Arabidopsis thaliana: one gene and its partner. The protein of the gene in region 1 interacts with the protein of each later gene in a biochemical or structural test. Each region holds a gene or a part of one and is shown on either strand. Other genes may lie near its edges.

What was found. Proteins that work in one complex are often made in the same cells at the same time.
Region 2: the proteins of TTL3 (region 1) and BRL2 form a complex in vitro, tested with the Arabidopsis thaliana proteins (one study listed by BioGRID).

Annotation. Positions count from the first base shown.
Region 1 is NC_003071.7:17,726,861-17,732,385, forward strand, and holds TTL3 (tetratricopetide-repeat thioredoxin-like 3), read left to right. Parts: upstream 1-1,618; 5' UTR 1,619-1,994; coding exon 1,995-2,893; intron 2,894-2,980; coding exon 2,981-3,176; intron 3,177-3,256; coding exon 3,257-3,441; intron 3,442-3,529; coding exon 3,530-3,863; intron 3,864-3,944; coding exon 3,945-4,146; intron 4,147-4,229; coding exon 4,230-4,336; intron 4,337-4,448; coding exon 4,449-4,601; 3' UTR 4,602-4,976; downstream 4,977-5,525. Other genes in the region: GRF9 (general regulatory factor 9), read right to left, coding at 5,304-5,407. UniProt on the Arabidopsis thaliana protein: Involved in osmotic and salt stress tolerance. May play a role in the control of meristematic cell size during osmotic stress. May function as an adapter protein for BRL2 and may be required for signaling affecting leaf vascular tissue pattern formation.
Region 2 is NC_003071.7:440,079-446,049, forward strand, and holds BRL2 (BRI1-like 2), read right to left. Parts: upstream 4,247-5,971; 5' UTR 4,159-4,246; coding exon 727-4,158; 3' UTR 546-726; downstream 1-545. UniProt on the Arabidopsis thaliana protein: Receptor with a serine/threonine-protein kinase activity, which may transduce extracellular spatial and temporal signals into downstream cell differentiation responses in provascular and procambial cells.

The DNA.
Region 1 (5,525 bases):
GAAGTCAATAACCAGCTGGCATGATCACCGTTTTGCAATTATCCCCATAATTACCGCAACACCCTTCTATTTTTTTATCCTTTTTTTTCTTTAATTAGTATTTACTATTTATTATCGTTATGTTCTTAATTATCCTATTATTGTTTTAAATATTTTTATATAGCGAAATAATTTATTTAAGAAAAAGTCAAGAGAAAATTAATTGACTATATATGGAAAATAATTTGAGGGTGCGAGGCATGACCTAGCTAGAGAAAAATAAAATAAAATGAAGGCATGCATGGTGCTTGGTTCAATGTAATTAGTGGTTCCGTAGGTCTGAACGGTACGGACTGGCCATGATCTACTAGAAACAGTAAATAGTTAATACAAAGTAATTAATTATGAGTTTCAGCAAATTAACTACTCTATATCGAATGAATTAAACAGTAATCCCCAGAAAAGAAAAAAAGAGAACTATGACAGCCTTTTCAAAGGACACCCGAAAACCAAAATGAAGATTTTAAAAATGCCAGCTCTGCAATAGATATTGAACTTTCATTTGTAATTTTCTTTATTTTTGTTGCATTACACACATTTGTTATTTACATTTAAATTGGCTATTGCAATAAAAGATTACTTTATATGCTTATAATAGTACAATATATATGGTGGCTTAAACAAAAGTTTGGCTGGCTTGATAAATACATCTTACATCGAATGACGATTTTACCCTCTATCTTGCTGTCTCTGAGTACGAGGGTTGAAATCCTTACGTGGCATTTTTTCTCATTTTTCTTGGTCAAATAGTTTAACCAAACTCCAAAAGTCTGTGATTTGTTGACATACTTCTAACTAATTTTTTTTTATAATAAAAATCTATTGTATCTGTAGAAATAATCATTAGATTTACTTTCTAGAATATAACTTCTTATTTCTTAGTAATTTGTCCAGATTTTTTTTTACAACTAACTAAACACTAGTTAAAATGTTAATGTCTAAAAAATACCATTACAATTATTCAATTTAATAAAAATTGAGTCGGCCAATTTAATGCGAGACTTCTGTACAACGACCCTAAAAGTGGGTTTGATAAATGAAACATATTGCAACAAAAAAATACTAGTAATAATGATAAAATAGTAACATGTCGTGGCGCATTGAATATCCTACGAAGGTTTAGTGTTTACTTTTAAAAAATCCTAATATGATACTAGTACATATAGCTAGCTTGCCTTGCTTATGCTATTGCATAGTCTGTATTAATAAATGATGTTATACATTTCGATAGAGTAACATTTTGGGAACATGAGTGAACGTGCTTGAATCTTCGTGCCCTTGACGTCAGAAGCTAGTAATTTTAAATACTAATTAACATTCATACAAATTAACAGATACAATGTACTATATCATAATTCGTTTCCGTAACACAACGCAACAATTTGAAAGTAGATGTACTTTAGTACTTAGTTAGTGTGCACCAAAAAAAAAAGATGTAGTTAGTTAGTAAGGGGTTAAATGTTTTAATTTATTAAGAAAACTTAAATTCATTAAATGTTAGAAAAAGTCTAATTAGTTTATATTCGAACACTGTGCTCAAAATTAAAAAGTCAACTATTTTAGACTATAGAGTTTATTAATTAATAATAAATTCGATAAATCACCGTATTATTTTCTTCAACGACAAGTAGCCGTGAAGACACGGGAGCGAAGAGAGATAAACAGAAGATGAAGAAGAAGATCAATGTCATAATCTTCAGGGAGATAAATCCGTAATCTTTATTAATCAAGGTTAATCCTTTTTTTTTTCTTCATCTTAATTCTTTGCGTCTTCCTTTTCTATTTATCACGAGATCTGTCTTTCTTTTTCCTCTTCTTTCTCTCTCTTCTCTCTGAAGACAGTACTTGTTTCTGTCCGGCGTTAAAAGCTTCGGTGGTGGTCTCTTGACTTCTCTGAGAAGAAGAAAAGGAAGCTGAGTCTCATTTTAGATTCAGCTCACGAGGAAGTGACGACGATGTCTCATTCTAGAAGACTTTCGTTGGAACCTGCTATAGATTCAATCACTGGTCGATTTCGTGATTTACAGAGAAATGATGATGACGTCAACAAACCTGATTTTCGAGAACTCGATCTAGGTTCTCCTGTTTCTACCTTAATGCCACGTGGCTCTGCTTCTTCTTCCGCTGCTGCGACTCCTACTAGCAGCTCTGGCTCTTCTGGCTCTGCTTCTGGTAAACCGTCGGTGAGTTCTCAGATGGCTAAACGGTTAGATGATGCTTACAAGAGTCATTCCGGTGAGCTTTCTAGCCCCGGATCCGGAATGCCGACCACGACCCGGATTCTTAAACCGGGTCATAGAAGATCTTCTTCTACTGGCACGCCTTTGATCTTCTCTGGCTCTAGCTTTACTTCAGCAACGAGTCACACCTCGCCACAAGGAGGTGGTAGCGGTGCTACGTCGGCAGTGTCTCCCAATACTGGCGTTTTACCGGCGGGAAATATTTGTCCGTCGGGTCGGATCTTGAAAACTGGAATGGCGTCTCGGACTTCAAGTAGGACTGAGACTCTATGCACAGGAACTGGTAATTACGGACATGGAAACGTTGTACGCAGCGGCGGAGGAGGAGGAACCAGCGGAAAGGCGGTGAGAGTGGCGGAGAATGGCGAAAACCCGGAGGAGTTGAAGAGAATGGGGAATGATATGTATAGGAGAGGGAGTTTCTCTGAAGCTCTGTCGCTTTATGACAGAGCAATTTTGATTTCACCGGGAAATGCAGCTTACAGAAGCAACCGTGCCGCGGCTTTAACGGCATTGAGGCGGTTAGGAGAAGCCGTTAAAGAATGTCTTGAAGCTGTTAGGATTGATCCTTCTTACTCCAGAGCTCACCAAAGACTTGCTTCTCTCTATCTCAGGTAATCTTGAGAGGCTTTTTGTTTTGTTGCTGTGTTTTTAGTTTAAAGATTGAGAATTTGAAATGATGGAGTGAATTGTTGCTTTAGATTGGGTGAAGCTGAGAATGCAAGACGTCACATTTGTTTTTCTGGTCAATGTCCGGATCAAGCTGATCTCCAACGGCTACAGACGCTGGAGAAGCATCTCCGACGATGCTGGGAGGCTCGAAAGATTGGAGATTGGAAAACCGCGATTAAGGAAACCGATGCAGCCATTGCAAACGGCGCTGATTCGTCTCCTCAGGTGATTACATATCATTGTCGTATGATATGCTTGTAAAGATTTTTGACTAACAGTGAGGTTTTTTCTATTGGTTTGGACAGCTTGTAGCTTGTAAAGCAGAAGCCTTTTTGCGTCTTAAGCAAATAGAGGATTCGGATTTTTGTGTATCTTGCATTCCAAGATTGGATCATCATTACCATTCTCAACCGCAGGTGAAACTCTTTGGTATGGTAGTTGAAGCTTATGTGCTCTGTATCCAAGCTCAAGTTGATATGGCATTAGGAAGGTGAGCTTTCGAAACTCAGAAATGTTGTGATTCTTTGGATTTTTGTTTCTCCACCGGTGAGTGAGTAGATATGATAGGTTTGTTGCAGATTTGAGAATGCGGTTGTCAAGGCAGAGAGAGCTGCGATGCTTGATCAAACCAATCCTGAGGTTGTATCAGTTTTAAACAATGTGAAGATGGTTGTGCGGGCACGTACTCGTGGTAATGAGCTATTTAGTTCGGGGAGATTCTCGGAAGCGTGTGTAGCTTATGGAGACGGTCTCAAGCAAGATGACTCCAATTCGGTTTTGTACTGCAACAGAGCAGCGTGTTGGTATAAGCTCGGTTTGTGGGAGAAATCTGTTGAAGATTGTAACCATGCGCTCAAAAGCCAGCCTAGTTACATCAAGGCACTTCTACGTAGGGCTGCTTCATATGGAAAGGTGAGATTAGAACTTACTATAATCAGTTATTGACAGAATTTTGCAGTGTATTCGAATGACAATGTGTGTTGAAATATATAGCTTGGTAGGTGGGAGGATGCGGTTAAAGATTATGAGTTCTTGAGAAGAGAACTTCCAGGAGACAGTGAAGTTGCAGAGTCTCTAGAGAGAGCGAAAACAGTGCTAATGAACAGAAGCCAAGAATCTAAAAGCCTAGGTTTCAATAATGAAGTTGAAGCGGTTTCGACTTTGGATAAGTTCAAGAAATCCGTAGCACTTCCCGGTAAGTCTAATGAGAAACTTCAATTTGTCTCAAAAGGTTGAGATTTTGCGTGTCTTGCTCAAGTTGGAAACATTTCTCTTCAGGTGTCTCTGTATTTCATTTCAAATCATCATCAAACCGACAATGCGAAGAAATTTCTCCATTCATCAACACTTTATGTCTTCGGTATCCATTAGTACATTTCTTTATGGTAAGAACAAGAACACATTCCAAATATGCTTTTTATATCACATTTTCTTCTAAACTTATATGTATAACCTATGTTTCTCAATGTGTTAACTGAGAAAATGAAATGTTATTAGGTGGATGTGGAGGAGAGCATGGCGTTGGCGAAAGCAGAGAGTATCAGGAAAGTTCCGACATTTAAGATGTACAAGAATGGAGATAAAGTGAAGGAGATGGTTTGTCCTAGCCATCAGTTTCTAGAGGACTCTATAAAGCATTTCCTCTTATGATTGAAAAAGCCCTATCATCATTATCTGCTTCCCTATGATTCGATCCGAATAGCCTATTTAAAAGACTCAGAAAGCATTCTATGTGAAAGATGGGAAAGAGCTCTTCTGTCAAATTCAACAAACTATTCATTCTTTCTTCTTATTCGATTCTAATTCTTCTTTATTTATTTTTTGGAGTTTGGCTCTGCTTGCTTTGGCATATTACGTATGGGTAAATGTTCGCAATGATTCAAGAAATGCAAGCTTCATTATCTATTTACGCTTGGCTTGTGTATGCTAGATTATTCACCACACCAGTGAAAGAAACTGAACAGAGTTTACTGTATTTGGTGTTGTTGATTCAATCAGTGACAGAATATGAATCAGAGAGTACCGAATCCAATCAGCTTCTATCTCAGCAATTCAGAAATGAAGGAATATAAGTTTCAAGATTGGATCCATAAGGATAGATAGTAAGACGACAGTAGTGAATTACAAATAAGAGTGTCCTGAGACAGGCATGCAATACATTCAAACCAGAGAGACATTTAGGGCTAAACCAGAGTACAAGTAACATAGACAATCATGATATAGGGAACAGAGAAACTCTACTTTTCACTATTATTCACCGCACATTCAGTTCTTGAAACATATTGTCCAGGTGCACACATATCATATCACTGCAACATAAGCAAAGAAATCTTGAATCAAAATCGGCTTATTTTAATTTGATTTACCCCGAGTAAAGGAATCTCTTATACTTACCTCTGCATCGTCTCCACCAGCACCAGGTTTGGCAGAACCATTCGTCTTATGAGCATCGTCTCCTGCACACAAATGCAAAATTAACAGTTGAAGTCCAAGTGAAAATATATATTGATAAAAACTGGCAATCGTCTTCCAGATGCTATTTCAACTATCTATCATCAAGAATGTCCATGGATA
Region 2 (5,971 bases), about 17 Mb from region 1:
CTATTGAAATTTGAAAACTCTAAATTACTAGACAACCACCTACTTGATTCACATCAACAAGTATAAATTCACACATACTAATGAAGTAACACATTGAAATATATTCTCTTTTGTGGTTTGAAATACTATTCTCACAAAAAAAAATATTCTACTCACGAATGTATAGTCTTATAGTGTTAGATGTTCATAGGCCTGAAGGAGAAAGAGTCATTATGGGCCTAATGTTTCTATATTCTAAATAGTTCTTTATGGCCCAAATATAATTTTGAAACTTCAGTTGTTGAGCCCATTTGTATGTTCTCTATCCAAAGCCTAATCGTGTGTATTCGAGCGTTTAATAAAGAACAATTTTTTTTTTTTTTTTTTTCTAATACCAGGAAGTTCTGGGCCAATGTCGGTAATCCTTTCATGCACGAAACCACATCGTGTAATATTAGTTTCGTTTCAAGCGTTACTCAAATCGGCGTTCTCTAAGCTTCGTTTACGGTCTTTACCAATTGAGCTAACGACACTCGGTAATAAAGAACAATTCACCAACTAAGACTCTGATTTGTTATAATCTGCATAGTTATTTATTAAAGGAATCAGAATTTAAATTACATTAATTAAGTCTTGATACATCATGAAATTTTAATCATTGATCAACCACACATACACATTCTCACAGGAAAAAAAAATGCATTGAAAAAGCCAGAAAAACAAAAAAAAACAGAGATCTTCATGTTGTTACAAGCTGTTACTGTGACTGTGACTATTATTTTCACTTCCACGAAGTTCTCTCAACGAAGCAACAACTTGTAACATATTAGGTCTCTTTGATGGGAAATCGTCAACGCACCGTAACGCTATCTCCAAATACCTCAACATTTCTTTCACAATCACTCCTCCTTCAAAACCTTCTTTCTCATTCAGAGACTCCGAAGAACCTTCTTTTAGAAGGTCTTCATCAATCACTTCCATGTGTTTCCCTTCTCTTGCCTTCATCTTCGACCAACCTACTAAATTCGTATCACCAAACTCTTCTTTATCCGTTGGTCTTTTCCCGCTTAAGATCTCGAGCATCACTACTCCGATTGAGTACACGTCGCCTTTTGCGGTACATCTGAAACTTTGGTAATACTCTGGTGGTACGTAACCTGGCGTGCCTGCCAAGGTACTTACACTCAAATGTGTGTCTAATGCGCTGATCAGTCTCGCCATTCCGAAATCTGAAACTCTTGCTTCCATGTCTTGATCGAGAAGCACGTTGCTCGATTTCATGTCGCGGTGGATTATGTGAGGGATACAATTGTGATGCAAGAAACAAAGTCCTTTTGCTGCTCCTTTTGCAATCTTTTTCCTCTCTTCCCAACCTAAAATCCTCCGTTTTTCGCCTGTTCTTGGTCCGTGAAGCACCTCCTCGAGGCTTCCGTATTGCATAAACTCGTAAACAAGCAATCTCTCTTCCCCGATTTTACAGTATCCCAAGAGCGGTACGAGGTTTCGGTGTTTGATCTTCCCTAAGGTTTCCATTTCTGCCATGAACTCTCGATCTCCTTGACAACTAAGTCTAATGAGCTTCTTGATCGCCACGGAAGACCCGTCTTTAAGCGTCGCCTTAAAAACCTCACCGAATCCGCCGTGTCCGATCATACTCGCGGCTGAGAATCCGTTTGTCGCCTCGATAAGCTGCGAAAACTTAAGCTTTCTCAACTGTCGCTGAAACGTCGCTACATTAATACTCAACGGCTCTTTCTCCTTCTCTATCTTCCATGTAGTGGCGGAATTAACCGCCTGCAAACTGTGAAGCATCTTCGCATCATCCGCATCTCTCCTCCTCGCACGAACCGCAATCGCCCAAACGATTAAAATACAAACCGAAGCAGCGGAAATCAACACTCCCAAAACAATGCTATTCGCCCAAGAAGCTGCCCTAGTTCCGTGCTTAGCACGTTTCCCTTCCTCTGTTCCAGCAGGAAGCTGATTGTTTCCATTCTTACATTCCGGTAAAGGAACACCGCAAAGCCCCGGATTATTCGCGTACTGAGTCGCCGGAAGCGTGCTTAACTGACCTCTCTGAGGAATCGGACCAGTTAACTCGTTATTCGACAAATCAATCTGCACCAAGAAAGACAAATTCGAGAAAGATTCAGGGATTTGACCCTGCAACCGATTATCCGAAGCATCGAAAACACCGAGATTCTTGAGCTGACCAATCGTAAACGGAATCTCGCCGGAGAGTTGATTATGAGAAAGCTCAAGAACTTGAAGAGCAATCATTTCTCCAATCTCATCAGGGATTTTACCTCTAAGCTGATTATAAGAAAGATCAAGATACTCAATGGTTTGATATCTTGTGAATAGACTCAAAATTGGACCTGAATACATTCTTGTGAAGTCACAGCTTTTAAGAGATGGAATCTGAAGAAGCCTCTCTGGTCTGATCCCTGAGAACTCAACCAAACCTCCAACACCTTTACATGAGTTTCCAACGTTTCTAACAAAAGCCATTGTGTTTCCTGAGAGTAAACCGGAAAGTGCTTTTGAACCGGGTTGACGACCTAACCGGGGAGGGATTTCACCGGTTAAGTGGTTTGTGTTAAGATCAAGCCAAACCAGAGTTGTGCATTTTCCTAGCTCCGGTGGGATTTCTCCGGTGAAATTGTTGTTACCGAGCTGAAGAACGGCTAACCGGGAAAGGATTCCGAAATCTTTAGGCACTTCTCCGGTTAATCTGTTGCTTGTGAATGAGACCCATTCGATGTTACTGCAATTGAAAAATTCCGGTGGGATTTCTCCGGTGAGTTGATTGTTGTTGAGGATCAAATCTTTTAGGTTTTGTAGTTTTCCGATCTCCGGTGGGATTTCTCCGGCGATGTTGTTGTACCAAGCTATGAATTGCTCGAGTTTCTGGAGGTTTCCGATCTCCGGTGGGATTGTACCGTTGAGATAATTGAGACTGAGATCAATCGTTCGTAGCTCAGAGCATTGAGATATCGCCGGTGGAATCTCTCCGGTGACGAGATTATCCGGGAGTCTTAGCTCTTCTAATGAAGCTGCTCCGGGACATAAATCCGGTGGAATCACACCGGAGAATCGATTCGAGCTGAAGTCAGCGATTCTCAAGCTCTTACAAGCAGAGATTGAAGTCGGAAAGTCACCGGAGATTAAGTTGTTGCTGAGAAGTAAGATTTGAAGAGATCCAAAACTCCGGAGGATAGTGTTCGGAAACGGACCGGAGATGTTGTTGTTTGAAAGGTCAAGACTTTGTAGCCAAGAACATGAGGACAACGACTCAGGGATCACACCAGTGAAGTTGTTGTAAGAAAGCCGGAGGTTTTGTAATGACCGGCAAGTATCTCCGATCTCCGGCGGGATCCAACCGGTGAGTCGGTTATGAGAAAGATCCAAACTTTGTAAGAGTTTAAGCTCACCGAAAGATTTTGGAATCTGCCCATCGAAGTTGTTGTAAGAAAGATTCAAGCTTTTGAGGTTGGTGCAGTTGATGAGTGAGTCAGAGATATAGCCGGAGATACTGTTACCGGAGAAATCGAGATAGGTCATGGAGACGCAAGAAGAAAGAGGAATGGTTAAACCGGAGATTGGACCGGTAATGTTGTTGTAAGAAAGATCAAGGGTTTGGAGTTTCTTGCTGCTTAAGAAAAGATCATTAGGTAACTTTCCGGTGAAGTTATTGTAAGAGAGGGTGATGGAAATAAGATTTGAGTATTTGGAGAAGAAATTTTCAGGGAGGGTTCCGATTAAACCGGAGGAAGAGAGTTCGAGATGAGTTAGGGTTAAAGGAAGAAGAAGAAGAGAGGTTGAGTTTAAGACGAAGAAGTTCTCTGAGAGTTTGAGAACAGAGAGAGAATCAAGAGAGGTGAAAGCATTGAAGGAGACGATTCCGGAGAGGCCACTACCGGAGAGATTAATCTCGGTGACTCTTCCTCCGAGACAAGTGACGCCGGAGAATTGACAAGGGGATTTACGAGGTGACCAGTTTGAGAGAATGTTGTTTGGATCATCTTGGATCATTGTTTTGAAAGAGAGGAGTGATAATGAGTCGGTTTTGAGTGAAGATTGGTCGGAGGAGGAAGATTGTGAGAGATGGGTAAGGAGGAAGATGAAGGAGATTTGGATCCGAGTCCGGATCCGAACCCGGATTGGTGAAGTAGTCATTGGAGGGAGGTTTTTTGAGTTTGAATGGAGAAGGAGAAGTAAGTAAGTTGAAACATTTAGATGATAAAGAGACGATGCTAAAGCAGAGGAAGAAAAAGGGCTTTTTTTGAAGAAAAGAAAAAGCTGCTTTTAGGTAATTTATTAAGTTTTATTAATTGTTGATGCTTATTATTTTTAAAACATCTTTGTCGAATCGTTTTTTTTTACATATGATGTTTTTCTAATAGATGATTGATTTATTAAATGGTTATGATCAATCTTATGATTTTGTGGAATTGTGATCATGACTTGTAGTGATTTGTGTAAGTGACATTATTAATCTAATAGAATACATGTTGTTTGATAATCAAAAAAATTAAGTTCAGTTTATAGAATAAAACTCTAATATTTAGAAAAATATGTTTTCAGTTTCATTTAGTCCTATATCTATTTGTTTCTAATGGTTTCATAATTTTAATTCATTAAAGCTCCATGTGGGGATTTTGAACCTTAGAAAGAATTATGATCACTGCTAATTTTCTAAATGGGAATTGTATCTATGAGATGTTTCACAAATTTCAATGAAGAAAAAGTGTAGTATTATATAAACTTCCATTTAAAAATTTAGCTATATACTATTGTTGTATAACATTTCTTAAAATGATTTAAATATTAGTTGTATAACATTTCTTAAAATAATTTAAATATTAGATGACAAGCAACTAGATCTAATAAGAGTCGGAAGGAATTGTCCGTTGTAGAATCGTCTATGTAACAGTGCAATAAATAATAAATCTAAGACTGGCAAAAAAAAATAATTGACAAGCAACTGAATATGAATATAGTTAGTGATATAGTGACAACACTAATAAAAACGAACATAATAGAAATTCTAGTCTATAATCACATCAAGTTTGGAATTTTGGGATAATTTGTTTTGTTTTTGTTGTGTATTGTATTAATACTTTATTTAAAAAAAAAACAAAACCTTTTACAAAAGAATGGCAATTATATTGAAAGGAATTTTGGGAGAAATTATTCCAAACCGATATACAAATATTTCATATGGTGGGGTGTGTGGTCAAAATAATTGGGACCCAATTTAGTCATAATATGCATCGCATATGAAATGGTCTTTTGTAAAATTTGGTTGATCCAATGTTCACTGTCGAGGCAGAGGCGTGGGGGAATGAACAGAGAAGTGACTTTACAAATTACAATAACAAACTTTAAGGTGTAACCATAATGTTGCTCACTTCTTTTTCCATTTTTATGTGATTTTAATTAGTTTAGTTTCATATAATATGCCATAGATGAGCCTTTATATCATGTTCCATGTCACACACTCCATCCTTTTCATCATTACACTGCCTTCTTCCACCAAGTTTATGAGTAGATTTGTATGACTTAAGCAAAATATTAGCTTGATTATTTCAGCCAACGAGAAAATGCTATTTTGAAATGTTCATTGATAAATAATCATATACACATATTAAAGAAAAAAATATACACAAGTCATATTTTAAAATGTTTCAATTGGTTATACCCTAGCTACCATTCAATTGCACAAGAGACTATTTCTTTAAGATCAATAGTTTCTAGTAAGAAATAATTATTCTTAGAACATTTTTCCATTGCAATTAATAGTGCAAATCTTATCACCTATAGTGTGATTTTGTGTGTTATAAATTTGTAATATATCATACTGTTGAAGACTATAGAGTATATTTTATTGATTCTGTTTAATAAATAAAGGACCGAATAGTGGAGAGTAATAGAGAAAAAGCCCCACAAAAGAAACAACATCAATTAGCTCGTGGTTTAGTGGCATGAG